3 linked regions of the Nothobranchius furzeri genome follow. The protein of the gene in region 2 purifies or fractionates together with the protein of the main gene of each other region. This does not show direct contact. Links are inferred from orthologs where the notes say so. Each region holds a gene or a part of one and is shown on either strand. Other genes may lie near its edges.

Region 1 (10,472 bases), on a different chromosome or scaffold from region 2:
TAGTTCGTATTTATGTGATGCTTTTTTAATGCCTGTTTTCCCCTCACCATTGTTTATGCTAGGCTAGCCGCAACGAGCTACAATAATGACCTGGCTAATGTTGATAGCCTCACTGTAGCGAAACTAACGACAACCTTTTTCCACATCTTTCATCAATTTAATCCTTCTATGTTGCCTTTCTTCTAACAATGGGTTTTTAGAGAGGCGTAATTAAAGCAGATTTGATCGCATTATCATCAAACATCCAAATCAAAGTGCTTCTCAAACTAAAGTGACTCCAGCACTCTTGGTTTAACAGATTGATTTGTTGATGTTTACAGTGAGCATCAGTCACCATCTTTATTCTTTGGCGTATTAATAAAACGTCGTTATTCGTTTCATTTCACTTGAATGCTTATATTCTGGTTGGCAATTGTATTCTGTTTTGAAGTTTGTATATTTAAATTTTGAGTTAAATAAAATTATTGAATTGAATATTAAGCGCACCTGGGCTTTAACAGTAAGGCCCAAACATTCTGTGTTGACTGTTTGAAGCAAGCTTTATCCAGCTGTCAGTTCTCGGATGTCAGAATTTGTCCTCTAGTTGAAACTTCCAGCCTTAATAAAGTTTCTTGCAGAACTTGATGTGACATCAGTGACTTGAAAAATACAAATGACTGGTATTGGTTATCACTGATTAGTCCTGGGGAGTGATTTTCTGTATTACCCGATGAACTGGGAACTCCTGTATATGTAAATATCTGTCTCGTCTGTTTAACAGTGTGGGGTTCAGTAATCCCAAGTCACATCTGTGGTTGTATGTTTCTTTTCTCTTCAGCATAAAGATGCCTATCAAGTAATCCTCAATGGTGTGAAGGGTGGTGCCAAGGAGAAACGACTGGCAGCACAGTTTATTCCTAAATTCTTCAGCAGCTTTCCAGAGTTGGCTGATGCTGCCATCAATGCCCAGCTTGATCTCTGTGAGGATGAAGATGTGTCTGTAAGTTCTAGACAAAACGTGTTTGTATTAGTTGAACTATGTGGGATTTCTGATGATGTGTTTTTTTATAGATTCGACGACAAGCCATTAAGGAGTTACCCCGGTTTGCCACTGGCGATAACATCTTAAGGGTTGCAGATATTCTCACCCAGCTCCTTCAGACAGGTGTGGACTATTATAAGCCACACACATCCTTCACTGGGTCACTTCTAACTGCTGTGTGGTAATGTAGTAGTAATCTGTGTGTATGGTTGTGCTTTTAGATGACACTGCAGAGTTCAACCAGGTGACTGCAGCTCTGATTTCAATATTCAAAATGGATGCTAAGGGTGAGTTTTGTTTTCTTAATGCTATTCATAACAACTGATCTAGAAACAGTTTATTTAATTGATACATTACAACCGTCCCCCTTACATGTACCTGCCATCCAGGTACTCTTGGAGGTCTCTTCTCTCAGATCCTGCATGGGGAGGACATTGTCAGAGAAAGAGCCATCAAGTTCCTGTCTACCAAATTGAAGACCCTCCCAGAAGATGTCATGTCAAAGGAGGTTGAAGATTATGTCTTTGCCGAGACAAAGAAGGTGAGGAAATGGTGTAAATTGGTTTTTGCAATCCTTATTGAAACATACATTAACTAATTATTAGTGTGCAGTCCTATAAAAGAGTTCTGGTTGAATTGATCTTCCCTACTGCTTCCTCAGGTGCTGGAGGATGTGACGGGTGAGGAGTTTGTGCTCCTGATGCGTGTGGTGTCTGGTCTGCATGTGCTGCAGACAGTAAATGGGCGGCAGCAGCTTGTGGAGCTGGTAGTGGAGCAGGCTGACCTGGAACAGGCCCTTAACCCGTCAGAACCAGATGCTGTAGACCGCCTCCTGCAGTGCACACGCCAAGCCCTCCCGCTGTTCTCTGTGAGTACATGTACATTCTCAGCTGATGCGCGATACGATAAATACTTTAGTTAAACAAATTATCTCTATGTAGCAGGTCAGAAAAATAACAAGAAATTAACTGTTACCATTAATGTCTTTCAAGTTCACCAGTCTGGTACCAAATAAAAACTTTAAATCAAACATTGAAATATGCTCTGAATTAATTTTACGATGCAATTAAATTGAAGTTGTTTGTTTTTGTAGAAAAATGTTCATTCCACTCGGTTTGTAACCTACTTCTGTGAACACGTCCTGCCTAATCTCAGCACACTGACGAGTCCTGTGGCAGAGCTGGACATTCAACTGGAAGTGAGTTTAATTTTTATTTTCTACTGAGATGATAGAGTTCATTATGGGGGAAATCTCATCAAAATCATTGCTGTGATGTCATTATTAGCAGGACCCAGTTCTGTTTACTGTTTAGTACAGTATTGATTTTAGAGTCCATGATCTGCCAAAGCTTCTTATATACAGTTGGGGTTACTCGGTGTACTCCGATCGCTCGTCTAAAGGGTTTTCTAATGTTTGTGTACTTAGGTGATCTAGTTCACAGGTGTCAAACTCAGGCGCTCGGGCAAGATTAGGTTCACGATCTATGTACATTTGTCCCATCAGAGAAAATTTTCAAGTATATATTAAAATTGACCTGTCAGCCCATTGGACCGCAAAGACTAAAAATCTCATAGTGTTTAGCAGCACCAAAATCCTTTTCCTGCTTTGGACTCCTTTAAAGTTCTGGTTAAAAATGACCGGTGGTGTGAAGGCGAGAACTCAAAGTCTTGATGTTTGGTTAGTGCTGATTGTATAAACGGAGTCAGAGTGACTGCTACCTGTTAGTGGGGTCAGTAGTCCGCCCCACAGAGCTTTGTCCCCCATTAGTCATGTTGGTATTCCTTCCAGTAGTAACATTCTAATGTGCGTTTGTGTTGGTAGGTCCTAAAGCTGCTGGCTGAGATGAGCCCGTTCTGTGGTGATATGGAGAAGCTTGAGGCCAACCTCAGCATGATGTTTACCAAGCTCATGGTAAGATCACGTTATCCTGTCATGGGGTGGGCCATACAAAATCAGTCATGATAATACCAGTCATCACTTCTTGCCAGGGAAAAGTATATATCACAATAGGGCTGCACGATATTAGGAAAACCTGCGATATTCGATAACAGTGCTTAATATTGCGATATCGATATTACTCACGATAAATGAACAAATACTAAAGTATGCAGTGTTGATGTCGTCTGGCGTGTGACGTCTGCTCTGAGTTCAAAGCAAACAAAAACTAATGCATGAATTCCATTACAACATAACATTTTTATTGCAAAAATATGCAGCTGCACCTGCTACTGTATTAGCAGCAAAACAACAAACTGCATGCATGCAGTTTCTCAGTGACTTTTAAACATCACCTCCACCATAAAACTTTTCCTGATGCTCCAAATACAGAAAAACATCCCTTACCAGGGTTTTTAGAATAAATAAAAAAAATCAGAAAATAAGTTTAAATGTTAAATAATAGTTAACATCACTTAAATGCAACAGCAAATTCTCTCATTGCTACTGAGCATTTTCTCCACTTATGTGGTTATGATATAAGGCTGTTGCTGTAATTGGGAAGTGAACTGTGCTGGGCCAAACTAGGAGAACATTAAGATTTTCTGAGGGAAAGAGAAAAACAATTGTCTACCTTTCAGAAGAGGAACTGGCAAAAAAACTACATGGAAAATATGTGAAAACGTTTGTTTTTAACCCCAAATTGAACAAGTTTACCTAGATCTTAAAAAGCAGCTCAGATGATGAAACTGCAACTATGATTCTGATAACAAGCTAACAAATTGAACTAGCTCCTCTAGGAGGAGCTAGTTCAACCGGCTAGAGAGCAAACAATGACGGTTCAACCGTCATAACCGGCTAGCAGAGCTTCTGAATGACAGTTTATGTGCTGCAGCAAATCAACTATCCTGATTAACAAGGTTATAAAAGCTCATAAATGAAAAATCACTTTGATGTGTGGGGGAACTTTTCCAGGCCCTCTTTAGCAGGGTGGGACTGGGAGGAGAGTGCTGTAGCCTTTTAGCTGGAAGCTAACCGGAGTCTGGGGCTAACATCACCACCCGGTGGAACACTAGCGACATGAAGGTGGGTTGGTTCACCGGCACGTGTCGGAGTCAGCCCGCTAAAAATGATTAACGACACCGAGCGGACTCGCGTTCACGTTTGAAAGCAGCGCTGATTCCAGAAACCTCAGCACAAAGTGCGTTCGTTAATCTGAGCCAGCATGACGAACAAGGGAACGGCACCGCTAACTCAGTTCGGGTGTTGCTTTCCATCCTAAGGGTGTACATAGGAGGCGGGCGTATTACGTGAACGGACCCATCTGATTGGCCGCATATCAGAAGGGCTACATTTGATTGGTCATATAATACTTCCGTGTAAAAAACAGAGCTGGTTTACAAAAAGTTGATGTATGACACGGATGGAAATGGAACTGTTGAATCAAACATTTATCGCCGTTTTTGATGTGCGTTGCGATGGGCCTATCGCACGTCCTGTTATCCCGATGACGGTAATTTTTTGATATATTGTGCAGCCCTACATCACAACACAAGAAAAAGTTTCTGAGGTGTTTTAGCCACAGCAAAAATAAGTTACCTGGTTATGGGGTGGGTTGGTTCTCTTCACACAAAGAAAAAATAAATCATCAGCCAGTGCACAAATGGTTGCTGAACCACCAACGTAAAAACTGAAAAGCTGAGTGGAAGATTTTGGGAGGAACAACACCCAGTGACTTGGGAATCTAGATAACAGTTGACTTGACTGGCTCCTTCTAGGTGCTATAAAAAAATCAGAGCCAAGTCCAGAAACTTCCTCCTCTATAACAGCAACAGTGGAGGTGTCATCATTCTCATGTCTTTCAAGAAATGTTTCTATGACTCGTGTTTACATTGTACATACTTTTAACTCTTGCTTTACCTCCTTATTTTGGGAAAAAATGAAACGGGTTTCATAGGGCCCAAGTATTTATGACAAAGTATAAATTAATAAAACAATGTTTATGCTTATGTCATAAGATGTATTGTTAATATCAGAATACTCAAAGTCACGATGCATCCTTTATCAAAACTTTAAGACCACTTGAAAACTTGAAAAATACTGTAAAGGGTCATTTTAGCACATGCTGGCTCAAGAAAATGATTTAAAATACGAATATGTTAAGTATTCCTTTAAGTGCTGTCCGCCTAGGGGAAATGGAATCAAACCAAAAGAAGCCACCCGATTGGCCAAAGGGCTCTATTTGATTTGTCAAAATCTTCATGCTTCAGTTTGACTAAATGCATTATGCGTAGCAAACATTTGAGCTGACCATGTACTGCATGCTGTATTGCAGTGATACATTTGCAATGTGTTGTGCAGCCCTATAAACAAGACTTAAACTGTTAAAGTTGTCCCAGATCGAGAAAAACAGGAACATGAAAAAAAGTAGGTGTTTTTTACCTCACCACTCTTATGGAATTGTAGAACCTTGTATGTTTTCTTTTAGGTATCTAATATTTAAAAATCTGTCAGGTGTATACTTCTGTGTCTGCAGGGCTGCACGTGTAGATGGAGACTTTTTTCTTCTTCGGATTCTCTTTTGCCTTTTGCCTTCGGGTGTTGCAAAGCAGTTCCCCAGCAGGACAACAGAGGAGGAGGAGTATAAACTATATTATTAATATTATGTATCTGTTGTAGGAGTTCATGCCCTTGCCTCCAGAAGAGGCGGAGAATGGAGAAACCTCGGCAAATGAAGAGCCCAAACTTCAGTTCAGCTACGTGGAGTGTTTGATTTTCAGCTTCCACCAGTTGGGCAAGAAGCTCCCCGACTTTCTTGTTGACAAAGTGGATGCTGAGCGCCTCAAAGACTTCAAGATAAGGTATTGGGGTGACATGTTAGACTCCTGGTGATTTAGTCTGTTGCCACTCACCTAGTGCTGCTTTTGCTTCTCGTTTTAAACAGATTACAGTATTTTGCCCGAGGCCTGCAGGTTTACATCAGACAGCTACGAGTAGCACTGCAAGGAAAGACCGGAGATGCTCTGAAAACAGAAGAAGTAAGGACCGTGGGCTGCTGAAAATTACTATAGTACTCTAACAGATCCCAGGATCAATGTTAAACTTCTTTTATTTTTGTATTTAATCAGAACAAAATCAAAGTGGTGGCTCTGAAGATCACAAACAACATCAATGTTCTCATCAAGGTAATTTCTACAAATCAGCTGTTAAAACATGTACGGCTGTGTTTTCAGTATAAACGCTACCTGTTATAGAAATGTGTATGTTTGGCGTGGGACAGCGCCACGCCTGAGCCTGACTGGAACTGTAGTCGGGGTTTGTTTGCTGTGGTCGATGTTTACATTAGTGAACCTGTGGGGAAAAGGTTTTTTTTTTTTTTTTAAACCATTTCTCGTGTCTGTGTAAGAGTTGTAAAGACAAAGTTACTCGTTGACTTTTTGTAGATGATTCCTGAATAACATCTGTTTGGTAAAATGGAGTTTATGTGTGATAGGACTGATCGGCTAAAGGCAGATTTTGTTTTTTTGTCATTTGTTTTTTTAATTGAATTCAAAATAAAAGTTGTTTTTCAGTTTTAGTCTCAGATCAAAAACAAGGAATGGGAAAGTCACCTAATTTAAAATCACCAAATGAGCGCGGTTGTGTCTGCCGCTCACTGTGACCCCCCCTGGCATTGGGTCAAGTACGAAGGACAGTTTTCACCACACAAGTGTGTATGACTACTATAGGCATTTAATCTTAAGACTTTTCTCTTGTTGCACATCACCCTCTAGTTATATCTGCTGGATCTACTCAAGCAAACCAAACTCATGTAGTCAAAAAAAAACACAACCCTGAAGTAAATGAGCTGGAATAAAGGGCATCATTCAAATATTTAGCACTTCAACAGTGAAGTTCTAGAAAAGCCTAAAAAACAATCCTTAAAGGTGCTATAATGTTCATACCATTTATTTTTTCTTTACAACATTCTTAAATTGCAAGATTTTTTAAAATCTTTATTTTTGTTTCAGGATCTTTTCCATAACCCTCCATCGTACAAGAGCACCGTTACCCTGTCCTGGAAACCGGTCCAGAAGCCCGAGGGAGTAGCGTAAGTTGGAAACATCAGGCCTTCGTCGGCTGTCTGATGGCCTTGCGGTTCTTTTCAGCTTCATTGGACTTTTTTGTTTGCTGCTTTTAGCACCAAGCGTCCATCAACTGAGGACACAGGATCTGGGGGAAGTACCAAGAAGCCGGTCGTCTCTCTGCCTCGACGGGACGCACGGCAAATTTATAACCCCCCCAGCGGCAAGTACAGTGCCTCAATTGGCAATTTTACCTATGGTGAGAAGGATTCTGTGGCACGTTTTATTTTTCTTTGTTTTCTGACACTGTTTTCACTGAACAGTTATCACCTTTTAACCCTAAAAGCACATCAGGGAATTTTAAATATCTTCATATCTAATCGAATGTAAATCCTCTGCACTCGTGGATTCACTGGTGAGACGGCAGAGTCTATCACTGGGATTGTAGTGGATTCACTCCCAGTGTTTATTCTAGACCCGTGTCAGCCTCGAGCAGAAGAACTTATAGTTGTCTACTCTTTCACAGATGAGTTTAAACATTCATGTTTGCTCTTCAGGATTCATCTGATTGAAGCACAAGGATCTTCTGTCTAATAAAAATCAAAAATAAAATTTAGCTTGAATATAAAAGGGCTGTTGAAGTTCAACAAAATGTAATTACTGGTCAGAACAAGTTGTTGACATAATAGAACTAGAACCAATGCATCAAAAACAGACATAAGAATTGGAGCACTAATGTTATACTGATCTATAATTGTGAATTTTTTTTTTTGTACACAAATCAGTCAAGAATTTGTCTGATAAACTTCCATAGGCTTTACCATTCCATGGCTGCCAATCAGTATGAGTTAACCACCTATAAAATGTATCGAGTCACTGACGGGCATCAGTGTCTTTACAGCAATCCTCACACTAAGCAAGCATTTAGCGACAGTGGAGAGGAAAATTCCCTTTTAACAGGAAGAAACCTCCAGAGGATAAACCAGGGGTCAGCCACTTTTCCCATCAAAGAGCCATTATTACCCGTTTCCCACAGTAAAAGTATACTGGGAGCCGCAGCAGCCGCGGCGTTGTGGGTGGGCGTTCCCTCTTGCACCTGGGCCCTCCCTAAGTCAGCCGAGAGCTGCTTTAACTGATCACAACAGGTGACAGCAACCGATACCATTCACTCTTGTACCTCAACGTTATCTTTCAACAGAAGATGATTAATAAAACCATCTGTATAAAATGATCCAGAAGTTGTAGCCCATCTGTGCCTACCGTATTTTGATATTTATCACCCTGTTAGTGGTTTTATTGATCAAGTGCCGTTTTTTGACGCTTCACACACGTCTCCTTTTAAAACATGTTTAAACTGTTCAGAATACAAATCTAGGCTCAGTCTCGTTGGATTGTTTTAATTAAACAGAGCGAAGCTTTACATTAAACAATGTTAAAGGTAAGAAAAGAATCCGATCAATTCGTTTTTTTTTTCCCTCATTTACAGTGGCGGACATACCGGCGCAGTGCGCATGGCTCTGGTGTTACTCAAGTTAAACCTCCTGGGACCCAAACTTGTATTGGGTTTGATTTAAAAGAAAAAAACATCTAGCTATTACAGACTAGTCGACTGTAATTAACAGAAAAGTAACAAATTTTAATTCGATAAAAATTAATTAAAAAAATTGTCAAATATCCTAAAAAAAGACAACTAAAAAAATTTTTTTAAATTAAAGTTATAGTGTCTATAAATAATAATGAAAAGGTCCAAGTAGAAGAGAATAAAATTTTAAAGAGCAAGGACCCGGACACAGGGTCCTAGGAGCTTAATGTTCCTTCACAAGAAGGCAAAACAGTTACATGATGGGGTTTGCATTGACCGCATATTTTCCGTATTTGATCGTTTATTTTGACGGAGAAACCTCAAGCCTGCAGATGGCTGACATTTTTATCGTTACGCTCATCGCGGAGGTAGCTACATCAATCAAGAAAAGATTCCCATCAGAACATCTGAGCTGGACACTGCTCAGCGCAGCTCGCTGTCAGCGTGCACGTAAGGTGGACCGGAAGCTGAAGATTTATTCAGCCGATATGTTGATTGGGGGCTTGGAGCGTGTCGCAGTATCAGAGCACATGCAGGAAGATTCCTCTCACTATGTTTTCCAAACCCTGTCTCTTCAGAGACTTGTCATTTAGAAAATGTTCCCTGATTATGAAACTTTGGCAGAATAGCGCTTGTTCCTGTCTCCAATGTGGCGACACATCCATGAGCATGTCTGAGGAAAACTCCAGAATCTCAATTCCTCTTCAGCTCAGAAGGCGCCTATAGAGACATTTGATTACGTACAAGCTGGTGACCTGTACACCGTTGGACCTGTTCAGGTTTACGCAGACAATCTTTACATTTAAAATTGGCATACAGATAAAAATGAATGCAGTAAAATAAAATACTAGTAGTAGCACATTCCATGTCAAAGAAAGGAAAATGATATTAACAGGAAAGAGAGAATGTTTAGGTGGTTAGCAGCAGTGTGCTAGCTGATGGTCTCCTCCACGAGGCCGCCACAGCTCAGCAGAACACCGTTGTAGCTTCTTTTGAGGAGAAAAACACTTGGAGAGAAAATACAATTAACAGCTGAAATAGCAGGAAATAATGCAATTATAGAGTGTTGCGTCCCCTTCTGAACGTCCAGGAGGATGAGGGGGCTAACACATGGAGGTGTGTGTGAGAGGATAAATAATGAGGTGGTGAAGTAAAAAACGAGGATTTATTAACAAAGGGTGTCCTTTTCTAAAGGCAAAATCAGGCTTACCACAGGGAACGGTGCTATAGAGGTGGAGTAAGCGAGTAACAGCTTACGAAAACAGCATTTGGCCGAAATAGGTAAAAACCACCTAAACAGAAAAAAATCCCTGGCTAAAAGTCCAAAGGGGAAAAACACCAAAATTAAAGCTGTAACTCTGTCAAAAAGCCTGAAGAAGAGCAAAGTCTACTTTCTACCAAAAACCCCAGACGACCGTACGCCACAGTTTAACCTTAGCGAAAAAAGTGTAACCCAGCTCAGGAGGATCTCAGACTAGCTCTGGATGTCCTTGAATGACTGCTGTGCTCTCCTTTATGAAGTCCTCCAGGCTGCTTGATGGCCGATTTGGATCGGCTGCTCCTGTTTCTGGCGTGCCTCTCTCCAAGGTCCTGAACTGCCACTGAGGGAGAGTGAGTCGCTCCGGAAACTGTCCCAGATGCTGAAAAGCTCAGCAGTGGTGACAGCAGGGCGCAGATAAACATGATGGGGAGGACCGAGGGGACGAGGGTCGTCACATAGAGTAGTGGTAGAAAAAAGTGGTCAGTGTGTCCTCCAGCAGTCTAAGCCTATAGCAGCATAACTACAGAGATAATGCTGGATAACCTAGCCTTTTAGATGGAGGCAGGGCAAGGGAGAGCCGTCTTTACCGACTGTATTCTCCACTGTAC
Region 2 (10,977 bases):
ATGCCCAAGCAACAAACTCAGGCCTCCTGGTCTTTTTTCATGGTTCACTTTGTGCAGAGACTGCCTCTCTGTTTGCTCTTTCTTAAGCAGCTCAAACCTATTAGGCTTAAGCAACATTCTTATTCATTTTAGCAGCTGACAAATCCACCATGACCCAAAAAACTGCTTTGTTTACTATTCAGTTATCCAGCAAAATACACCTTTCGGGTGCTGCTTTCCCACATATCTTTCTATGAAGTCCTTTTTGTCTGTATATTCTGACAGAGATGCTAGTCCCTGTTTACATGACCTTCCAGAGGGACCACATTTGTTTGAGTTTGCATCAACCCACATGTTTGCAGCCGAGTATAAGGAAGTCCAGTAGTTATGTTTGCATGTCCAGATGGGACCTGGATATTTTAAAGCTTTGTGCTTTGGGAATTATTTGTGATTTTATTATTTTTTAACCAAAAGGTGAAACAAAAATAAATGATTTCTACAAATAAATATTTAATCTCCAATATTGTCCATGTATTTCTGACCCTGTTCCTACCCTCACCACTGAAAGAAATGACTCATAAGAGTTACTTAAAAAATACATTGTAAGTATTTGCAAGCAAAGTATTTAAGTACATTTAAATGCTGCAATTTGAAGTAATACTTACTTGCCAGTATCAAGTAAAATTGACTTTACATGAAACATAACAGTTATGAAGATTTTAAGTAACATTTACTTAATTAAATCCAAACTTTAGTTACATTTATTTAAACAAATTAAGTAAAGTCTACTTGTTTTTCATAGGCAAGAAAAAATTTTACTCAAAATTTTAAGTTCATGTTATGTCCCTGTAGTATTTGCAATGATTAAATAGATATTAATTATTTTCTTATAAATTTGGATGAATGTTACTAAATAAATGTAACCAATACTCAATGCATTTAATACGTATAAAACCGCTCATTTTTAATTTTAAACAGTTTAACAAACATTTAAATCCATAATAATTGTGTATTAAATTGGCCAATCTTTTATGGGGCAGCCATAAAAGACATGCATAATCTTTACACCACTTTTCAAAGTTGAAGTCGCTTTTTATATTTATATTGGGAAAAAAAAGCATGCGCAAGTACAGCATTTATGGTCACGAGCTTTGGGTAGTGGCCAAAAGAATGAGATTGCGAATACAAGCAGCCAAAATGAGTTTTCTCTGCAGGGCAGCTGGGCTCTCCCTTAGAGATAGGGTGAGAAGCTCGGTCATCCGGGAGGGGCTCGGAGTAGACCTGCTGTCCTCTGTTGTTTGTCCACCACAACAATGTCTGGTTGGTTCGCCATCACCATTTTATCAGTCTGGATCTGGAAGTCCCACAGGTTCTATGGTGCGGTATGGGGGCCAAAATTAAGACTACTGCCCAGCAGCAGGAGGCTATATAAATTCTGAAGCAAACTACCAACCTAATTAATGACAAGCTGGCGCCAGTAACTGAGAGGCTGGCGCTGCTTACTGAGGAATAGCACCTTTACCGGCGTTATTACTAGATACGCTAGGGACTAGCAGCCCTCGGCTGGTGATTGACTGGTTCAAACACTCCCTCTGCTGTCTATTAGCATGGATAGGCTAGCGTTAGCCTGGACGGGCTGGTGTTAGCATTGGAGAGGCTAGACATTAGCGTGCCTAGGTATGCCACTAGCTGGATTTCCTACCCCCTTGACAGACCATTAGCATGGATAGGCTGGCATTAGCATCAGAGAGGCTAGCCATTAGCATGACTCGGAGAGTCATTAGTCAGCTAGTGGCCAGCCTAGGCACACTAATGGCTAGCCTATCCATGCTAATAGACAGCAGAGGGAGTGTGTGAACCAGTCAATGACCAACCGAGGGCTGCTAGTCCCTAGCGTATCTAGTAGTAACGCCGGTAAAGGTGCTATTCCTCAGTAAGCAGCGCCAGCCTCTCAGTTACCGACGCCAGCTTATCATTAATCAGATCAGTAGTTTGCTTCGGAATTGATATAGCCTCCTGCTGCTGGGCAGAAGTCTTAATTTTGGCCCCCATACCGTGCCATAAGGATCTTCGTTCACTCGTTCTCTACCAACTTATGGGGTGATACCCACATTGGGTCTTCCAGTCCATACTATGCACAGATGTTTCTGTACACGATGTCAGCCACTTGGTTGTGGCGTTCCAGGTATGCTTTCCCTGCTAGCATCTTACACCCTGCATCACACCAGTGAAGTGTGTCGTTGGTTCATTTGGAGAGAATGTGTCCTCTTACGCTTAATGTAAAACACTGTGACCTCTTTTCTCCATTCATCATGACTTATTGTAAGCCTTTTTGTGTTCAGTGTTACACCTACTGTACTACAGATAGCACATAGGCCTAAATAAGTCCATTGTACGTTAAGGCTTCAGAACATTTGGATACAAACCCCACAAATATATGTTACCAAATTAATTTTACTGTGTTTTCACACATAAACAGCAAACACAGTGTTCCTCCAAACCAACACAAAGTTGCATATGCAACGGTCTACATATGCAACAGAAGAATGCACTGAATACAGTTTAGTCAAAACAAACAAACAAACAAATAAACAACCATGCTACATCCTCTCTTCCGTTTCTATCTGGCCACAGAGCCCCATCTACATCACAAGCAATGTGCTCCCTGGCCAAGCAGAATAGTAAACTTTATTTGTTTGACACCAAAACGGTTGCAGAAATTCATCTTTGAACAGGGCTCTACATCATCATTCACACTCACGTCAAACAGTTAAAGCCCATAAGACCGTACATATGATCTTCCTTTATCCTTATGTAGCGTTGACAGTCTGGACACCTTTAAAAAACAGTTAAGACCCTTTTATTTAAAGCTGCTTTTACCTAAATCCTTAATTTTCTAATTTTAACTCAAATGTTTTATCTTTCATCTGTTTATGAAATGTTATGATTTTATGACTTAATTTTTTCTGATGTTAATCCATTTCTGTTTTGAGATCGTTATGATTTAATGACTTTGTTTTATTTTGTTTTTAACTATGTGAAGAACTTTGTGATTCTATGTCTGTGATAAGTGCCATATAAATAAAATTTACTTACTTACTGCATCTACACACAGTAAAAACACACTAATTGATGCATACATATACTCAATAAATACAATGCGTGGGTTTTAGAAGTTCCTGTACTTTTAAGGGCTGTGATTGCAACAGGGGAAACATTGCTTAACATGGCCATTCCAGCCGGCCTTCTTCCATATGTGTGTGGATTTCAGTCATACACTTACACAGTCATACTCCATCTGCACACAGAAAAAAAATCCTCATTAGGATTGAGGAATGGATAACACGAAGGAAGATAAACACCTAAAAATCGTGGGTGGTATGTATGTCGATGGGGTGGGCAGCGAACCACCAGTCACGAACCAGAGCAGCCCTGTAGAAAATGACCTGATCTGGTGGTGGAGGAGTGCGTTGGGTAAGATGTCCAGGAATGTGATCAGATGGACAGTGTTGTAGGGGTCAAGGGTAGAAGTGATGGATGACACAATTGTTGGAAATAGCTGCTCTAATGTCTTAAATTAGATTATGTGCGACAGGTGTTTTTCCTTTCGATTACATTGTATACTTTACAGTGTACACTTTACAGTGTACACAGAGGATCTTACGTGGTCAGTGCACACGAACAATACAGTGAAGAAGGCACAGCAGCGCCTCTTCTTTCTCAGAAGACTGAAAAGATTTGGCATGAGCCACCGCATCCTCAGGACCTTCTACCGCTGTGCCATTGAGAGCATCCTCACTGGATGCATCTCCGCCTGGTTTGGCAACAGCACCGCTTACAACCGCAAAGCTCTCCAGAGAGTAGTGCGGTGTGCAGAAAGGATTATTGGAGGTGAGCTTCCCTCCCTCCAGGACATCTATAAGAAGCGGTGCCTGAGGAAAGCGGGGAGGATCATCAAGGACTCAAGTCACCCCAGCCAAAAACTGTTGAGACTACTTCCATCAGGAAGGAGGTTCTGCAGCATCCGGTCCAGAACCAGCAGACTGAGAGACAGCTTTTTCCATCAGGCCATCAGACTGCTGAACACGGCGCAGACACCTCACCCTCACTACTGAAACTCCAACATTACACGCTCCGTACTGTACATTAATGCCACTGTTTTGCACATACCAACCTCTGTACATTTTATATCTCTTATCTTACTGTTTACTTTATTCATTTGTATACTTAGATTAGCCATTTTTATATCTTACATGTTTTTACATTACTGTATTTTTGCACAACTCTGTTGCTGTGAAGCCCACACACAAGAATTTCACTCGCATGTACTGTACCAGTGTACCTGCACATGTGACGTGACAATAAAAGTGATTTTTTGATTTTACAGTTTTGAATGACAGTGGGCTTGTAGTGAGAACAAGACTTCCTTTATGACAACTGTGCCAAATGCAAAGAACTGGGTGTAATGCAATGTAGTGTAAAGCAGACAGCGTGCTTGAGTGACTTCTGGCAGCTGCCACGAGCGGTGTCGGTGTACACCGGAAGTGAAGCCTCTGCACTTCCTGCCTTCGGTCCTGGCGCACTCTCCTGTGAACAGCTAGCTACACGCTAACTCGACAGTCCTGCGCTCATTGAGAATAGCGAACCATAACCGTAAGGTAATGTTAAAACCTATTTATACTTCTCCAAACACTCTTTCGTGTATGCAGACATGGGCAATGTTTAAGGAGTCGAGTCGTTTTTTTTAAATGTTCGATTTTGGTTTGATTTTACAACTGATGCTATGCTAGCTGGCATGCTTGATGCACTAATAAAAATATATTAGACAAGTCTAGTCATTTAGCTAAACTTTGCTTCGGTTTCGGTGAGTCTGGCAGTTAAAAGTTAACTCCAAACAGAACATACACCGTGGTGTATTTTGGAGTTTCAACATTGAGGTGAAGTGTTCACCCTTGTTAGCCCGCTAACCTCGCTTTGGATGAAGGAGAACGACTCCATTGTTTATGTGGGTGACCACCAGCTCACGCAACGGGTCTCACTCGGTTTGAGTCAAATACATAAAGTTCTGTAAAGTGTCGTCTTTATTAAGTTGTAGGGGAAATAATCAACTTAATACACACGTTTGTTTTTTATCTCATTTTTCAATCCTTATTCTTGCTTTTTTTGTTGTCCGCGGCCTGCTAATGTTAGCCATGCTAACTTGCTGCTAGCCGTAATCAAACAGCCCCACGATGTTTTCAGCCGCTGTTAACGCTATATGAGTATAGCGGCTGATGTGTAATACGATTGCTAACTACTTAATTTTAAACCACTGGCAATCACAGCCAAGTAATGATCCCAAACTTTCTGTATATTAACAAAATGAAAAATCCAGTTCTTGCCAGATCTCAAAACTTGCAAAAGCAATCCCTCAGGTAAACAGGATAACACAGTACATTGTTTATTAAAAATGCAGGATTGTGTGTGAAAACTTAGTCAATTTACATTTCTCCAACACAACATCCCCTTCAGATGGCAGAGAACGACGTTGACAATGAACTTTTGGACTACGAAGAGGATGAGGAGCCCCAGGGACTTCCTGAGAGTGGGACACCAGCAGGCAAGAAGGAGGTTAAGGGGTCCTATGTCTCCATCCACAGTTCGGGCTTCAGAGACTTTCTCCTGAAACCAGAGCTGCTCCGGGCCATCGTTGACTGTGGTTTTGAGCATCCTTCAGAAGGTAATGGTTATAAAACAATTTAGGGAAAAACAAAAGTCTGTGTCAGTTAATTGGAACGTATATTACAAGAAAGAATGCATCAGTTAAGGTTTGTGCAGTTATTAGTGGAAAAAGGTAGCAGAATCCGATCAAAATTTAGATTTTCTAGAAAAATAACAGGTAGGCTCATCCTGAAAAGAACTTATATTAAGCAACAGTTTTTGATCTTTGTACTTTTTGTCATTTGCTTTTATTTTAGTTCAGCATGAGTGCATTCCTCAGGCTATCCTCGGCATGGATATCCTGTGTCAGGCCAAGTCTGGTATGGGGAAGACAGCTGTATTTGTTCTTGCAACGCTGCAGCAGATCGAACCTGTGGATGGCCAGGTAAGATGATCATATGTATGGACAACAAATGAAAATCTTATTCTTTACATTTTTCCTAGAATTTAAAGTAGTGATGCACCGATATGAACATTTTTGACCGATACTGATATCCGATATTAAGATCACTGTTATGACCGATAGCTGATATTTGCCGATACCGATATGCTGACATGAATGCTTCTAAAATCTGCAGATTTTGTATAAAATAAAAATGATTAAAGCTGAATTTATGTTATTATGTACACACACAACTGCGGTTCTGAGATGATTACAATCACTGTCACATGACTGAACAAATATACATCACCCCCTCACCCTCTGAAACAGGCAAACAAATGGTGACAAGATGGGAAAAAATATCTCTCAATAATATTGGCCTGTTTTTTTTTTTTATCGGACTGATATTGATATGTTAAAAAACGGCTAACATGGCCGATACTGACACTGATGCCGATATATTGTCCATCCCTAATTTAAAGTGCAGAACTAGTCATGGTTGTTGAGGTTTCTAGAAACGGCAAACTTACGAATATTGCAGATGTGTTTCTGAATAAGGCAGTGAAATACATCATCATTACAGCAGGGCTGAAACGATTCTTCAAATGATTTGATTCATTACTGAATAGAAGCGTCATTAAATACGCGAACCGCAGTCTGAACACATTCTTTTCGCACACAGTGTAGTATTCTAGGAGCTGTGTAGGAAAAGAAATAAACCAGCAGACACAAACCACTGTGAAAGGCAAAAACGGTCCAAAGTTTGGGAGTGAGGTGAAACTATGAGCAGATAGCCAGTGCTAAGCTAGCGCGTAGCATCCTGACGATCAAGTGAGGTTAAGAAAAAATGCGACGGTTGTGAATGACTAAACTCTACAAGCAGAAGAAACATCTCCATCTTCCTGTTTATTTGTGGATGTCTGCAGCAGTGTGGGGCAGAGATGCTGCAGCTACCTGGAGTCTGGGTTGTTGCTACTGGGGTGCACCGATCTATCTGCCCCAGTCTTGTTTTTTTATTGATTTTTTTTATTTTTAAGAACGGCGATCAGCCAAAAACTGCAATCGGTGCACCCCTAGTTAATGTTAAAACAGATCATTGCTGTGTTTTAAAACGGGCACAGAAGTTTTGTTTTCGAAATTAAGAGCAATGCAAAATATGTTAATTTATACTTGGGAAAAAAAGACCTCATGTCCAGTTGAGACTGGTATTGTTTCATGAGTTTTCATATTGGTTTTCTCAATAAAAGGAAATTGAAACGTTGACGTAATCTGATTTTAGTTGAGACAAAATCGGTATCGGCAAGTCAGGTTTTTTCAAGGTCAGTGATCAGCCAATAACTGCCATCGTTGCACCCCTATAGTTTCTACGAGTCTGCTCTACACAACGCATCAGGGATACGGCAAGCTGTTGTAGCATGTATTTCACAAACGCTTCTATATTTGAAAACATTTGAGACAATATTATGTTACCAACCCATACAAATACCATACATATGCCACCATTACATTGTTACAGCAGAAATTCAATATTAGCGTTTCCAGTAGCTTACTAATGAACATGTTAATGAAATCATTACACGCTATTGATCATATGCGGATATATTTAGATTATTTTGAATAAGATGAGTGATATTAACACAAACTAAAATGTTATTGAAATATAAGTTTTATTTTGTTCCATAAAATATTTAAAAACTGTAAAAATCTGATGGGAGAGAGCGAACCAGACAACAGCAGTTAAATATATGTCACAGAGCATTTTATAATTTAGTTTTTGCATATTTAGCAGCAGGCTAATTTCACGTAAAACGTCGTAAAATAGAGTATCGGTGGAGGATTCGATAGAATATTTGAATACTAAAATATTCTATAGCTGCAGCCCTAAAATACAGATTTTAGGAACCGTGAGCACTGAAATACTATGTGATTGATATTCTGACAACTCCTTATTTATTATTTTTCCAGGTGTCTGTCCTTGTGATGTGTCACACAAGAGAGTTGGCCTTCCAGATCAGCAAAGAGTACGAGCGCTTCTCCAAGTACATGCCGACCGTCAAGGTGTCCGTGTTCTTTGGAGGCCTGGCCATCAAGAACGACGAGGAAGTCCTGAAGAAGAACTGCCCTCACATCGTCGTAGGAACTCCAGGACGAACCCTGGCCCTCATTCGTAACAAGACGCTCAGCGTGAAGAACATCAAACACTTTGTGCTCGACGAGTGTGATAAGATGCTGGAGCAACTGGGTGAGTAGGAGGACAGCTAGTAGTTTGATCTGATGTTAGGATTGGTCATCTTTATGCCTTTCATGTCCCTCAGCACTGCGTTATTAATTATCATTATTTAAACTTTCTCAATATTTTCATTTTCAGTCACTTATTTGTTTTTTTAAAGCTGTGCATCACCAACTTCCTTCCTGATCTGACACACGGGGAAGATTGCTCCGTTTTAGTACAAATGAGGTAAAAATGAGAAACACATGGAACATAATCTGTTTTTCCCCTCAGACATGAGACGGGATGTTCAGGAAATCTTCAGACTGACGCCACACGAGAAGCAAGTAATGATGTTCAGTGCGACTTTAAGCAAAGAGATTCGCCCCGTCTGCCGCAAGTTCATGCAAGATGTAAGTTATTGTCTGGGAAACAGACAAGCGGTCGTTCACATGAGTCGCATGTCCACAGAGACCCTCCCCCAAACGTCTGAACCATCCCTTTAGTGTGTCTAACGGGGGTTATGTTTATAAAAAGGAGGGATGCACCGATCAGGTTTTTTGCTGCCGATCACCGATACCGATCACGTGGATTGGCCAGAAATTTTCTACAACATTATAATGAGTGCTACAAACTACATAATCTGGGAATAAAGGAAATGTAACCTAATCTAAAATGGTCTGTATTAGGGTTGTCACGGTGTGAAAATTTAACCTCACGGTTATTGTGACCAAAATCACCACGGTTTTCGGTATTATCGCGGTTTTTTTTTTAAACGTGCTACATTTTCACACAATTAAATAAACCCTGTATGTCAGGAAATATTGTCCTCAGTTTGTGTCTAAATTTTGCCTAAAATGTGTTATTTAGTAATTATGTTGTTTATTTGTTTACATTTTCCCCCTTTAGTCTTTAAAATACCAATATTTGCCCATAACGTCTTATTTTATGTCTGTTTGATGTCATCATTTAAAAATATTAGACCAGATGATACTCAGTACTCAAGTAGCCTTCTAATCAGATACTTTTTTACCCTTACTTGAGTAATAAACCCTATATCAGGAAAATATTGTCCTCGGTTTGTGTCCTTCCAGTGAGCTTTGCAGATGTGGGAAAATGTCATCAGGCAGTAATCGTTGTTAAATTCATAATTATTCTCGGAGAGAGACCAACTCTTATCTGCCCCTGGGAGCCCCGTAATGCATAGCGTCATTTCAACATGGCGGTGTCCGCGACACGGTTTATATGCAGGTAGCGGCGCTGCGGCTGCTTTATATAGCAACTCGTTGCATTCTCCCTCAACCCAAATCCTCGGATCACGCACTTTAGCTAAAACGCTAACGTTAGCTTGCCTTGCGTTGACTGTAGAGTTGTGGGTGATGGTCACGCAGATGTGTCATGAGATTTGAAGCGTTGCTGCCTTTCACAGACACTTTTTCTGCACGTGCTGCAAACAGGATAGCCGTCTTCTATCAGCTGTCCCTCGGCATTCTTCACATATCCAAAAGATGCCGTACTTCCCACTTTGTCTTTGAGGGATAATAAATGTCCTCCTGAGCGCTGCCGTCTCCTCCTTTGGCCATTATTTCAGCTTTAGCTTAAAGAAAGTTTTGGTTGTAAACAACAAAGTGCGCATGTGCCGCCGACAACTTCAGCAGATGATACGGTGGCTGGTAAGGGTCACCGCACCTACGGTAATCCACCGAGATAATATAGTTTTTTTTTTTTAAAACAAGACGGTTATTATTATTGTCAACTGTTTTACCGGGGTTTACCGCTACACCGGTTACCGTGACAACCCTACCTGATCGGTCTGCTTTGATCTATTTTGAAAACTCCGATCAAAACCGATTGGGGCGCTATCGGCAGACTGGGATCAAACGCCGATCCATCGGTGCATCCCTAATAAAAAGCCTAGTTCAGCTGTCTGCCATAAAGCCCGTGTTCTAACAGTAGATCAGTGTTAAAAATCTACTGATGAATCAGCCTTTCCCGTGTTTTGGTTAGAAGTTACCTGAAGTCAAACCCCTCCAGCTTTGCCCACTCGCGGCTGACCGTGTCACGAGTGTCCATTTCAGAGGGGCAGAGCGAACGTCCTCAGCTGATCTTGCTCGGCCTGGGCAGCGGTCCTCACGGCTGTGCTGCGCTGCGGGAGAACAGGCCCAGGTTGGACTAGTTTACTCAGGAGAACCACGGGAAGGTTCTAACTCGTGTTGTTATGCTGCATGTGAATGCAAACAGAACTGTGTTAGTAACGTGTGCATCGGCCTCGTCTGTTTTCCTTCAGCCGATGGAGGTGTTTGTGGACGACGAGACCAAGCTGACACTGCATGGCCTACAGCAGTATTACTGCAAGCTGAAGGACAGCGAGAAGAACAGAAAGCTGTTCGACCTCCTTGACGTGCTCGAGTTCAACCAGGTGTCCTGTGACTTTTCTTTCTTTTATTTGCATAAAATGGCTTTGTGTCCGTGAAGTCTTCCCTGTGTTTTCATTTAAACAAACGTTTAGTCTCTTGCTTTAAAGGCCCTATAAATAAATAAACAAACCCGGAACCTTTTCCCCTTCTATTGTCGTGTTGGCTGATAAAACACCGAAGCCTTGTGGACTTAAGGGTCTCCTCTGGTTCCTGACAGGTGGTGATCTTTGTGAAGTCCGTGAATCGTTGCGTGGCGCTGTCCCAGCTGCTGGTGGAGCAGAACTTTCCCG
Region 3 (10,993 bases), on a different chromosome or scaffold from region 2:
ATGTAAACAAAACAGAAGCTAAATGTGAAAAAAAATAAAAAATAAAAAATACATCAGTATTTCTGTAGAACTGCTTACCTCAACCATGGTGGCAAACTTATCTCCATCAGGGGGAGTTTCTCTGAGGAGCTGCAAGAACAGATAAGTTACAAGTTGTTCTCTCAGTGGTTCACAGTGTTAATAAGAATAATAGTTTTATGAGGTATAAAAAAACTGTGATGTAAATGGAAATTGTCACAAAACCTCAGAAGAAGAACGGACAGATTTTTTTCGCAACAGACACGTTTTCTCCTGATTTCTGGTCCTACGTGTCTGAACTGACCTGAAACACCAGCTTAGTCGTCTCCTCAATCCATGTAGTCTGGTCATCATTCAGAGCACAGCTTGAGCTGTGTCAAGAAATCAAAAAGCATAAACATGAACTAATTCCATCCCAACAAGTGATATTTGTTTAGTTGCACAAATGTTCACCTTTTGAATTTGACCTGACCCTTCAAGTACTGGAACAGGATCAGGTACTGCACCAGTATGTGTCTCCGGAAGTTGCTGTCGCTGAGCTGCAAGTCCATCAGCTGCAGATTACAAAAAAAAAAAAAATCCCAAAACAATGAAGTTTAACTTTTAAGACAGAAAAACATATGACTTACAGCCATAGTCAGTTAAAAACTGCTTATTTATACATGATTAAAAGATTTTTAATGATTTTTCTGCACCTTTTCGCTCGTGAGAAACTTGGCAAAGTAAACCTGTTCACCATCAGACGCTCGCAGCTCCTCCAACTTCCTCTTTGACGCCTGCATGTCATCCAGTTTGTAGCTTTTGAACACAGCAAGAGTCTCATCGGAGTACTGAGCAAAGCAAAAGCAACACACAAGTTTATTTATTTTTTTATCCTCATCTTGGATATTGACAGTGATCCGTCAAATTGGTCAGAGTTGCTGCACCGAGGTGGATTACCTTAACAAAAGTAATCCATGAGATTTTTTCATAGCACTGCAACGGATTTCTAAAGTAGTCCTGCAATGTCCAGAACTTTCTGTACAGGTTGTAGTCAATCGGAATAGAACTAAGGAACAAAAGGGTACTATTATTTCATGAAGGTGAAAATGTGAGCAAATACAGCAAATGGTTTTCATTCACCACGGTGCCGGGGCGTCATCCTCCCCCATTTCTCCTTCCTCCACTTCCATGCCGTCTTCCTTTTCATCAGCGTGCTGTCAACATAGTAGCAAAAAAACAGATGAAACAGGATGGAAAGGATGAGCTCATTAACCTAATAATTAACCTAACAATACTTCACCTTCTGACCAAGAGTGCTTTCTTGTTCATTTTTATTGAACACGGTTATGTTGTCCAGATTAAACTGGCTTTGTAGATTGAGACCTGGATTAAAACACACACAAAATCTATTTAATTGAGAGGTTTACAATATGATTGTAAAGTGCTTTGATTTTTTTCCCCTTCAAGTTAGAAAAATAACTGACTTTCTTACCGGATTTTTCAGACAGAGGAAAGAGACGTGCCAGGAAAAGCTGGATTCTCCCACAGAATACTGTATTCTGGGATTTCGACAGCCTCCTTAAAAGATCTGTACAGATGAAACAAAAGTCACTTGCACCTGAACTTTCTGAGAATAGAAAGTCTTTTGGATGACAGAGAAAAAGACAAGATTTTTACCGTTACACATTCTCAACAAATAGTTCTTTCCTGCTGTGTAAAAAGAGCTCTGGAAGAAAGAAACAACACAGGTACAATAATGAAACCTTCTAACAAAAACAGAGAAATATTTTTGTTGCCTTTACAAAAAAAAATGCCTGTAATTATACCGATTTCCAGGTAGAGACATTTTCTTCAACAAAAGAGAATATTTTGTCACACAAGTCAAGGGGAAGGCAATCCAGAACGTCTCCCAGCAGGACAAAAGGAGTCGTAGCAGAACAGATACCTGCATTAAAAACAGAATAAATGTTACACTGTCATTTGTTTTAAGAGACGTTTTACCAAAACTTATATCAAAGCGATCCTTTCAACATGTATGTTTAAAATCCAAAATCATCTAATCTAAAATAAATATCCACCTCAGCAGTAGTGATAACATACCCTCAGTAACAGCATTGATGCTCTGGTAGATTAGAGACAGATAGTCATCACAGCATGATTTCTGCTCAAGCTAGAGAGAAACAATCATTAGCGATTCTCACATATTTTCAAATTTAAATTAACTAACTTATTAAACTTACAATCTGGTCACCAAGAACACTCCTCAAAGCCTGATCCAGTGTGGTCTTCTTTTCCGTCTCACTGACAAAAACACACAAGTAGTAAATTTGTATTTCTGGATTATTTTGATCTGGAACCTCGACCCAGGAGCACAACTTACTTGCCGGGGAGTTGGTTAAACACGGCGATTAGGGGTTTGCAGGTTTTACCAGCTAGTGCTTGTGTGCTTGCAGCCTACGGTTGGGTGAGCATGGGAAAGGACATAATGAGAAACAAAAGACGATGCAGAAGTTTGCTTCCGTTTTCAAGCTTCCGATTCGGGAAATGGCTAAGGCCAAGGCCACTCTCAATTTTTATATACGGTGACCATCTTTAATCTGCTTCATCTTAAAAACTACAATACCTAGACAGTTCAAACCTGGACGGGATTATTCTAGACTAATAGCAAATTCCATAAAACAGTTTGTGATTTGTGAAACTTCAAAATCTGCCTATTTTAAGTTTCACAAATCTGAAAAAGGTTTCACAAATCACAAACTATGCTTTATGGAATCTGCTATTAGTCTAGAATATTCCAGTCCCGGTTTGAACTGTCTAGGCATTGTAGTTTTTTTAAATAGAGCAGATTAAAGATGGTCATAGTAAATAAAATTGAGTGCAAATGCTCTTTAGCCAATTTCCAAATCGGAAGCTAACTTCAACCTCGTAAACAACAGGACCGTTCAGAAGCGTTTACTTTAGCTTAGCTTCTTTGGCTAACTACTACACTAGTACAACAAGCACAACCATAAAGTAGTGAAGTTAAGATTTTTTACGGTTTTATCAACAAGTTGTCTTACATACAAATATATTATGGATGGAAATGACAGAAAGAAGCCACTTCTCACCGAAAATTTCTCTTTAGCGTCGACAAAATTAAATGAGGACAGAGACATCTTTACGCTTCTGAAACCGGAACCGCCAACGAATCACTTCCGGTTATGAAGTGGCGTTTTTGTACGTAAAGGGAATTATCTGACAAAATTATACATTAATACATATTATCTATAAACGGAGTTAGGATAAAACTAACTTTGTATTTTTTAATTTAGTTTCAAATAGTTCAGTCAGTCACATTTTTATTTCCATTTTGGATGAAAAATGGAAATAAACCGTAGCATAGCAATCTTGACCACACGATGGCAGTGTTGTACACCATTGTTGCTGTTAAAGTTTTTCATTATTTTTTAATTTGCTTACATTCATCAAACTCTGAGTGGCTGTAAGTGATGGATGCATGGAAACCTTCTTCAAATGGTGAGTTAAAATTAGTATTTCTACTTCCTGAAAATAACAGTATTAATATTTATTTTAATCCTAATTTCCCCACTGTATGGTTTAGTTTGCCTTTTGGCCAGGACTCACTTAAAAAAATCTTACACTTGATTTTTATTTTAAAGAGTCATGTTCCAAACTTTCTTTATAATAATAATTACAACAACAACAACAACAACAATAATAATAATAATAATAATAAGTTGTGTCAGCCATTGAATACTTGTAAAATAACGTCACTCTGTTTATATTGTATGCATTTCAAAGTTATATTTATTTTAACGGAAAGAGCGAAATAATTTTTGTCCTTTCTTGTTAATAAATATTTGACTTTGACAGGTCACAATGCACAGCAGTTGTAATGTGTTTGTTTTGCATGTGTGCCTGTCTTGGTGTGCACTTCCACATGTTCTAATCATGCAAATGAACATTCAGCTATGTGCTGCAGGCCTTGAATCCTTTGATACCATCTGCTTGTCTAACAATGTCCGATTTGACATTAGAATAACCGCTCCATTACCCTGAGACAACAATCATTAAACTAAAGATTTACTCAACCCATGTGAGAACACTGAAGCTTGTTTTGATCCAGGTCAAGACCTCTAGGATTTACATACAAGGATGATCCTTTTCAGCTCCTTTTGATGGGTGTTTGTAACCTTTTTGTGACAGTGTTTTGGTGGCTGTGCTGATGTTAAGAGAAGAACAATGACTTTGTGAAGTGGAGGCGTTTAGTGTCACATGGAAGCAGGAGAGGCTCTATTTCCTTCACGTGTGTGGTTGTAGTGTTCATGAAAAAGGGAAGTGAGGAGTGATTTACTAATACCTATTTTCTCCCATCCCTTATCTTACTCAGAGTTCATCAGATTGTTGCCAAAAACTGATGAAGAGCAGAAAGGGAGTAAGCACGATGAGAAACTTGGAGATTGTGCTGGGAGGCACTCTTAAAAGTGATTTGTGCGTGGTTTGAGGTTGTGATTAGGGCAAGAAGATTGAGAAATCTTCTACATTCTACCTAAAATGGGTGATTTAATTAATTAATTAAATAATTTATTTATTTTGTTCAATTAAACTTCCCTAGATAATTTGTTCAGCTTTTATGCAACGAGTTTTCAAAAATATACCTCCAATTGCACCAAAAAGTAAAATGAACAAATATATTTAGGTTGCATGCTGAGGCTTAGTTCCATGTTTGCGAGGCACGCTCATCCCGCTGTCCGTGCCTGTAACTTCTACAACCTTTGACATAGTTTTGATAAGACACTGGTCCATATAGTCTAACTTTGTGGAAAAGATAAGACGGTCAGACTAGAAAAGGAATGAAATAGGGAAAAATATTTGATTGAGCTGCCATGGAGCAAAGATTGAAGAGGTCCTTCGCCCATGTTTGTAATACATTTGCAGTGGTCTATTGTAGGAACAAATGCCTTGTAAGTTGTACTCTGGGGGAAAAAAGCTCCGGTGCACCTGTTTCAGCTCAGAGAATTCAGCCAGAGGAGAAAGTAGGTTCAGACGACAGGAATGTGAGTCTTATTTCCTGATATTGGGACATCTCTCCTCTGATTGGCTAACAGCAACATGACCTTACCACTGACTCTGCTCTGCAACATTGATTGTTTCATCTCCACAATCCTGTAGGAGTTCTGCTGTGTTGTAGAGTTGCTAATGCTAATGGTTAGCTTCTGCTAGCTGAGGCGTTCTCTACTCTCTCCTCAACAACAGCCTTCCCCTTTCTGAGCCGAGATGAGTGAGTGAATGAATGCTACCTGACAACATAGATCTGACTGGCTTTTCTAATCCGAGGCTTTCCTCATTCATTTTCTATCGACGGCTAATGCATGAAATAAAATTAAAGAACTATTTACACGTTGGCGTGAAACTCCTTGTAGCCGTACATATTTTAAAAACAACAAGTAAACGGTTTATCAGTGAACTGGCTCTTTAAATAGATTATCTGAGATAAAGAAAAATGTTTGCAAAACTTTGACACTTTTTGATAAAATGACTAGTTTGCGCCACAAAATGAATTTAAACTAGTTCAAGTTCCTCACGTGTTTACTTTTCCCAGATGAAGATAATGAGAGGTCCACCGACAGCTCTTTTCTGCCGAGTTACAGACCAATCAGTCAGGATGAGAGCCAAATAATTTGATGAACACTCAGACAAAATGACCGAGGGGCAACAAAGAGAGCATTGTCTGTAGAGACAAACTTGTAAACAAGAGGCAAAACACAATGCCCTGACCCCTGAGGTCAAACACACAAAGGAAGGAGTTTTTGGACTGCCTGCTGTCACGTGGTTTCCTCTGAGACTCCACTTTATAAAACATATAACGAAGACTTATTTTATTGTTAGGAAGATGAAAGTAAACACATATGAATGAGTGAACATTCTGATTAAGGTTATTACTAAATTCAGCCACACGTCACATTTAAATTAGACCTTTTTTCATCCCTTCAATGCTTTTTCAATTTTTTGCTTCAAATAAAAATGTCCCCACATGGATTACATTCCTAATACTGTATTAAAGTTAGTTAATTTATTCATCTATGTCAGGTGACAAAATGCAAATCTCAGTTGTGTCACAGGTCATCATAAAAATTATTTGGGACATTTTGCTGACGATTTTTTTCAGAGGACAACACATTGGGGATGCAGTGATTATCCTGACTTGTCTTGAAGACAGCTGGGACTTCTGTGTATTCAAACAGCCTTGGTTGCATTTCTTTGGTGATAAATGCTCGATTATGCAGTTTAAAGTCATTTGACAGATATGCAATGATTAGCTAAGGGTGTGGAGGCCATCAAATACCCACGAGCCATAAAACTGGACGTGAAACAGCCAGGCCACGTGTGCAGATGGAGAAGCAGCATTCTTGTGACGGAGCCAAAAAGGAAATCTCCATCATGACCATCTTGTCTAATCATCACGATCTTTTATTGGAGATTGTTTGTGTGCAATTACCCGATTTACATCCTGCTGTTTTAAAACAAAACAGAAAAGAAAAACATTCTTTTTAAATTAAACTAATCATTTATAGCATGTCATGTAAAAATAAAAAATGAATTGAATCACAAAATTCATGCAAAACTATAAAAAATGATTCTGATTCATTCAGATTAATTTATTAATGACCACACAAAAAGTTGGTGGAATTTGTTTCCGGTGCAGCATGACATGCTCACAACTCTGTTTACACATGATGTAACAAAAAATAAACAGACAGAAACATTAGGCAGTTAATTGATTTAGTGTCAGTATAGCTGTTGGGAAAAATCTGTTTTTGAATCTAGTTGATTTTGTTTGTAAGGACCTGTAGTGTCTTCCAGAAGGCAATAGTCTGGACAGATGACGTGCAGGGTGAGAGGGGTCCAAGGTGACCTGTTGTATGATGTGTCTACGGTACAGCAGCTGCTGATTCCGCTGTGGGCCAGCAGTGGCGCTATTTCACCATCTTGTAACTGCCAGCCACCAACAAGAAAAAGGTGACGTCATTTGCCTTGTCCAGTCATACTCACAAAGCATCGGTAAGCCTAGCTGCTAGCCTGCCACGTAGCAGGTCTGTTCTCCAGCATGTGTTACTATGGTGAATACAGTAGCGGTTTTAGGCACGGGCAGACAGGGCAGTTGCCCGGGGCGGCATTTTTTCATGACACAAAAGGGGCGCACAAGCGCGGAGTAAAAAAAAAAAAAGGAAATCTGCGCCGCAGCGAGGTTTTCTATTATCTGTCATATGACAGTGTCTGGATTGGAAACAGCAAGTTGGCGCCCCCTGCAGTTGCAGGCGCTCCTGCTGACTGAGAACGTTCACGTGCACCGTGTGTCTATGAAGAACAGGAAGGGGAGGGGTGCGGCGGGGGAATTCACCTCTGCGTCTTTCCCAAATGAATGAGCGTGCAGGGGCTGAATCAACTGTATTAGCATTGCTAAAGTCAATCACATCTTAACGTTCTTCCATATTTCATTCATAATATCATAAACACAGGCCTATAATTCTTTCAGGTTTCTCTGAATTGTGTGAAATGGCCGAATAAAAAAAGGAAAAACAAAACGATTTTGTGGTCACCCCCCATCAAGGTCAAATTGATTAGTCCTGACTAAAGGAAACTTACTGAGTCAGGAGACAAACAGAAGAGATGAACATAAAAAGGCTAAAACCACCAGGTGCCCCATTCAGGGGAAAAAAAGAAAAAAGAGCAGAAAGATAAAGGTATGTAGCTCTCATGATGCATGTTTTCAATTTTTTGAACCAGTTAACTGGGATTTTAACGGTTAAATGCGGTCAACTAATTGCTAACAGAGCTAATAGGGCTGAAATATTTAAACGAATATTCAAATGGTTTGAAAAAAGTCCTTGAATCGTTTTTTACTGATTCAAACTAGGATTTGTTAAATGCTCACTGCAGCTTGTGGCCTGCCTGAACAACAACAAACACATGTTGATCATGTTCACATAATAATAAATAAAACAACTCTTCAAGCAGAAGAAAACTCCCCAGTCACCACTAACTATCCTGTTTATTTATTGCAGATGGCTGCACTGATTATTTTTTACATGATTTGTTCTGTAAAAGTTGGCATTTTTGGTAGTCTACAGTTTTTTATGTCAGTTTAAATTACAATTTCAGAGGCAATTCTAAAATATTATGGATCATGATAAAGATCTATTGGAGATCTACCCCAACTTTTGGACTGCTCTGCCAGTCACTGTGGCTCCAGCTGAGAGGAGCTTTTCAAAACTTGATCAAGTCATACCTGAGGTCACCTATGTTTCAGGGGCGGCTCACTAACCTGGCTCTGATTAGTATCAATCACTCAGTAGGGGAGCAGATTTCATGTGATGACATTATTGATGACTTTGCATCAAGGTTAGGTTTTAATTTTAGTTTGTGTTTTCTATTCTAAGTGCAATGCTGTAGTGATTACCTTTAGTTTGTTACGTGTGAAATATTTTTGCTATTTAGAATATTTATTATCTATTATGTTCATATATTCTTAATATTTAGTTATTGTTTGTTTTTGTATATTTGATTCTATATATTTTGATACAGTATATAATGTATAGTGCTTTACATTCTGACAACTTCATAGTAATTAATGTAAATATGTGCAACTTAGAAAAATGAATGTTCAATAGTCGTTCTAATAAAACATGCCTGTTTGTAGAAAACATGCGTGTGTTCATGCAGGTGGGGTGGTGTGGTGGTGGTGGTGGTGGTGGGGGGGGGGGGGGGGGTTGGGGGGGGGGGCGCTCAAAGGGGGCCTCGCCCGGGGAGTAATTCGATGTAGAACCGCCACTGGGTGAATAGGCTGGGTTTCAGGCTAGCCACGTGCGTAGAACCGATTTAGGGGCGGTTTCCCTGGGAATCTCTTTTGTATACTTACTGCAAGGATATGACTTATAATTTTAGACGATTTGTCAGTTATGCGTTTTTTATGTGAGTAGGAGTCCAAATCATCATACAAGACTATTATGGATGAGGTGAGTATACTTTGAATGACAGCGGTATAGAACTCTACAAGGATGCTGTGCACCACACACTAGCAAACAAAAAGGGTTGTTAATGAGCTGCTGTCATCTTCACTGATTTCATTTGCCTTGTTTTTCTCAGAGGCCTTTAAGACAGCTTAAGATGATCTGATATTCAACAGCTAAACACCCTGCCCCACTAACGAACAATGACGCTAAGTATAAACCTTAAATTAAAAGCACAGACCCCCTGCATCATGTTCATCAGACATGATTAGGAATAAAATCAGTTTTAGACACATCATCAGGCTAATGACAGACTTGTTTAAGTTTTCAGGACAAACCTGACACTAAATGGTGACTTGGAGGCAACAAAAAGCAAATTTTCAGCTATAATGGCATTGAATTTGTCCACTATTACATTTGTGAATTTTGCTAATGTTCTTGTGCAATTCAGTCACAAAGCATCATATTTGTTTGCATTTGATCCTAATTGTATTTGCACTTGTGTCTGACTCTGAATTTCTTATTTATTTTTGTCTCATCAGCCCTTGTTTCATTAGGCTGAGATTGTTAGCTAGCAGCAACAAATGTGCAATATTTTTGTGACAATCACGCTCAATCAGTGTGTGAAATAAAATTGCAAGAAGCTTTTAAACAAATGGTCGAGTCACTTGGGACAAGAGGAGTATTTTCAAACATATTGTGCCAAATTTTTTGTCACATTTTTGCAGGAAAGCTTCTTGATCATTGTCCAAGATTTCCAAGTTGTCTTGCCACATTTCTATTTTATTTTTTGCTTGCTTGAAAATAAAAATGAGAGAAGTTTCAGACACAAACAACCCCGTAGACTTGAATATATGAAAAACTCCAACTATACTAGAGTTAGGCCTCTTGACTTGTGAGAAAACCAAGGGCGTCAGTTTGTTTTTAGAATTGCTGGGGACAATAACCATACACTTGAGTGGGGTTTAAAAATTGCTAGGGACAACAATTAAATAGGCTAGCATATTTAAGTATTCATCAGTTGGTAATTGAATCATTACATCCATATCATAGCTAGCCTAGCAAAAAAGATCCTTGTTATATTATTATTATTATATTATATTGTCTATCCTTGTTATATTATTGGTGACTGTCAAATAATAAGATTTTCTGAGAAAAATACCCATCTTTACATCAGGCTCCACTCTCTGGTCATCTCCACACTCCGACAGCCTGTCCGTGAACTACCGGATTCATTGATTCAATTCAATTCAAGTTTATTTATATAGCGCCAAATCACGACAAGAGTCGTCTCAAGGCACTTCACATAATAAAAATTCCAATTCAGGTCAGTTCATTAAGCCAATCAGAAATAATGTTTCCTGTATAAGGAACCCAGTAAATTGCATCAAGTCACTGACTAGTGTCAGTGACTATACAGCAATCCTCATACCAAGCAAGCATAAAGCGACTGTGGAGAGGAAAACTCCCTTTTAACAGGAAGAAACCTCCAGAGAATCCTGGCTCAGTATAAGCAGCCATCCTCCACGACTCACTGGGGATCGAGAAGACAGAGCAGACACACACACACACACACACACGCACGCACACACGCACACGCACACGCACACACACACACACACACACACACACACACACACACACACACACACAGGTCAGTCAGAATGCAACTGTGCAGCATCTCAGAAAGTGCACAGGAGAAGGACAGGTCAGCAATGATAGAGACTGTTAGTTCAGTGAGGTACCTTGCAAAACAGGGCCTAGCTCTCAGAGGTCATGACAACGATGACGAAAACTTCAAGCAGCATCTGGATGAGAAGGCTGAGAATGACCTCAATCTGGCAAGCTGGCTGCAGAAGAATCATTCCTACACAAGTCCTGCGTGTCAAAATGAGCTGCTGATGTTCATGAGCAACAACCTTATCAGACAAACAACAACTGCAATCCATGGGTTACCTGTACTGCAGTTCTCTCTGATAATG

The links.
Region 1: the proteins of ATP-dependent RNA helicase DDX39A (region 2) and api5 fractionate together in Homo sapiens (co-fractionation; 3 studies listed by BioGRID, with this or other methods). This does not show direct contact. The link is inferred for Nothobranchius furzeri from reciprocal best matches to the Homo sapiens genes DDX39A and API5.
Region 3: the proteins of ATP-dependent RNA helicase DDX39A (region 2) and thoc1 purify together in Homo sapiens (affinity purification with mass spectrometry; 3 studies listed by BioGRID and IntAct, with this or other methods). This does not show direct contact. The link is inferred for Nothobranchius furzeri from reciprocal best matches to the Homo sapiens genes DDX39A and THOC1.

What each region holds. Positions count from the first base shown.
Region 1 is NC_091744.1:54,692,071-54,702,542, forward strand, and holds part of api5 (apoptosis inhibitor 5), read left to right. Parts: intron 1-817; coding exon 818-979; intron 980-1,050; coding exon 1,051-1,144; intron 1,145-1,242; coding exon 1,243-1,308; intron 1,309-1,410; coding exon 1,411-1,562; intron 1,563-1,682; coding exon 1,683-1,889; intron 1,890-2,114; coding exon 2,115-2,219; intron 2,220-2,843; coding exon 2,844-2,933; intron 2,934-5,636; coding exon 5,637-5,818; intron 5,819-5,901; coding exon 5,902-5,995; intron 5,996-6,085; coding exon 6,086-6,142; intron 6,143-6,967; coding exon 6,968-7,047; intron 7,048-7,137; coding exon 7,138-7,280; intron 7,281-10,472. UniProt on the Homo sapiens protein: Antiapoptotic factor that may have a role in protein assembly. Negatively regulates ACIN1. By binding to ACIN1, it suppresses ACIN1 cleavage from CASP3 and ACIN1-mediated DNA fragmentation. Also known to efficiently suppress E2F1-induced apoptosis.
Region 2 is NC_091747.1:68,843,179-68,854,155, forward strand, and holds the start of ATP-dependent RNA helicase DDX39A, read left to right. Parts: upstream 1-4,508; 5' UTR 4,509-4,637; intron 4,638-5,490; coding exon 5,491-5,698; intron 5,699-5,936; coding exon 5,937-6,064; intron 6,065-8,026; coding exon 8,027-8,303; intron 8,304-8,564; coding exon 8,565-8,683; intron 8,684-10,557; coding exon 10,558-10,689; intron 10,690-10,904; coding exon 10,905-10,977. UniProt on the Homo sapiens protein: Helicase that plays an essential role in mRNA export and is involved in multiple steps in RNA metabolism including alternative splicing. Regulates nuclear mRNA export to the cytoplasm through association with ECD.
Region 3 is NC_091751.1:49,147,554-49,158,546, forward strand, and holds the start of thoc1 (THO complex subunit 1), read right to left. Parts: upstream 3,205-10,993; 5' UTR 3,156-3,204; coding exon 3,108-3,155; intron 2,455-3,107; coding exon 2,381-2,454; intron 2,302-2,380; coding exon 2,241-2,301; intron 2,171-2,240; coding exon 2,101-2,170; intron 1,946-2,100; coding exon 1,827-1,945; intron 1,727-1,826; coding exon 1,678-1,726; intron 1,589-1,677; coding exon 1,493-1,588; intron 1,384-1,492; coding exon 1,301-1,383; intron 1,215-1,300; coding exon 1,141-1,214; intron 1,067-1,140; coding exon 958-1,066; intron 849-957; coding exon 714-848; intron 573-713; coding exon 472-572; intron 390-471; coding exon 323-389; intron 130-322; coding exon 79-129; intron 1-78. UniProt on the Homo sapiens protein: Component of the THO subcomplex of the TREX complex which is thought to couple mRNA transcription, processing and nuclear export, and which specifically associates with spliced mRNA and not with unspliced pre-mRNA.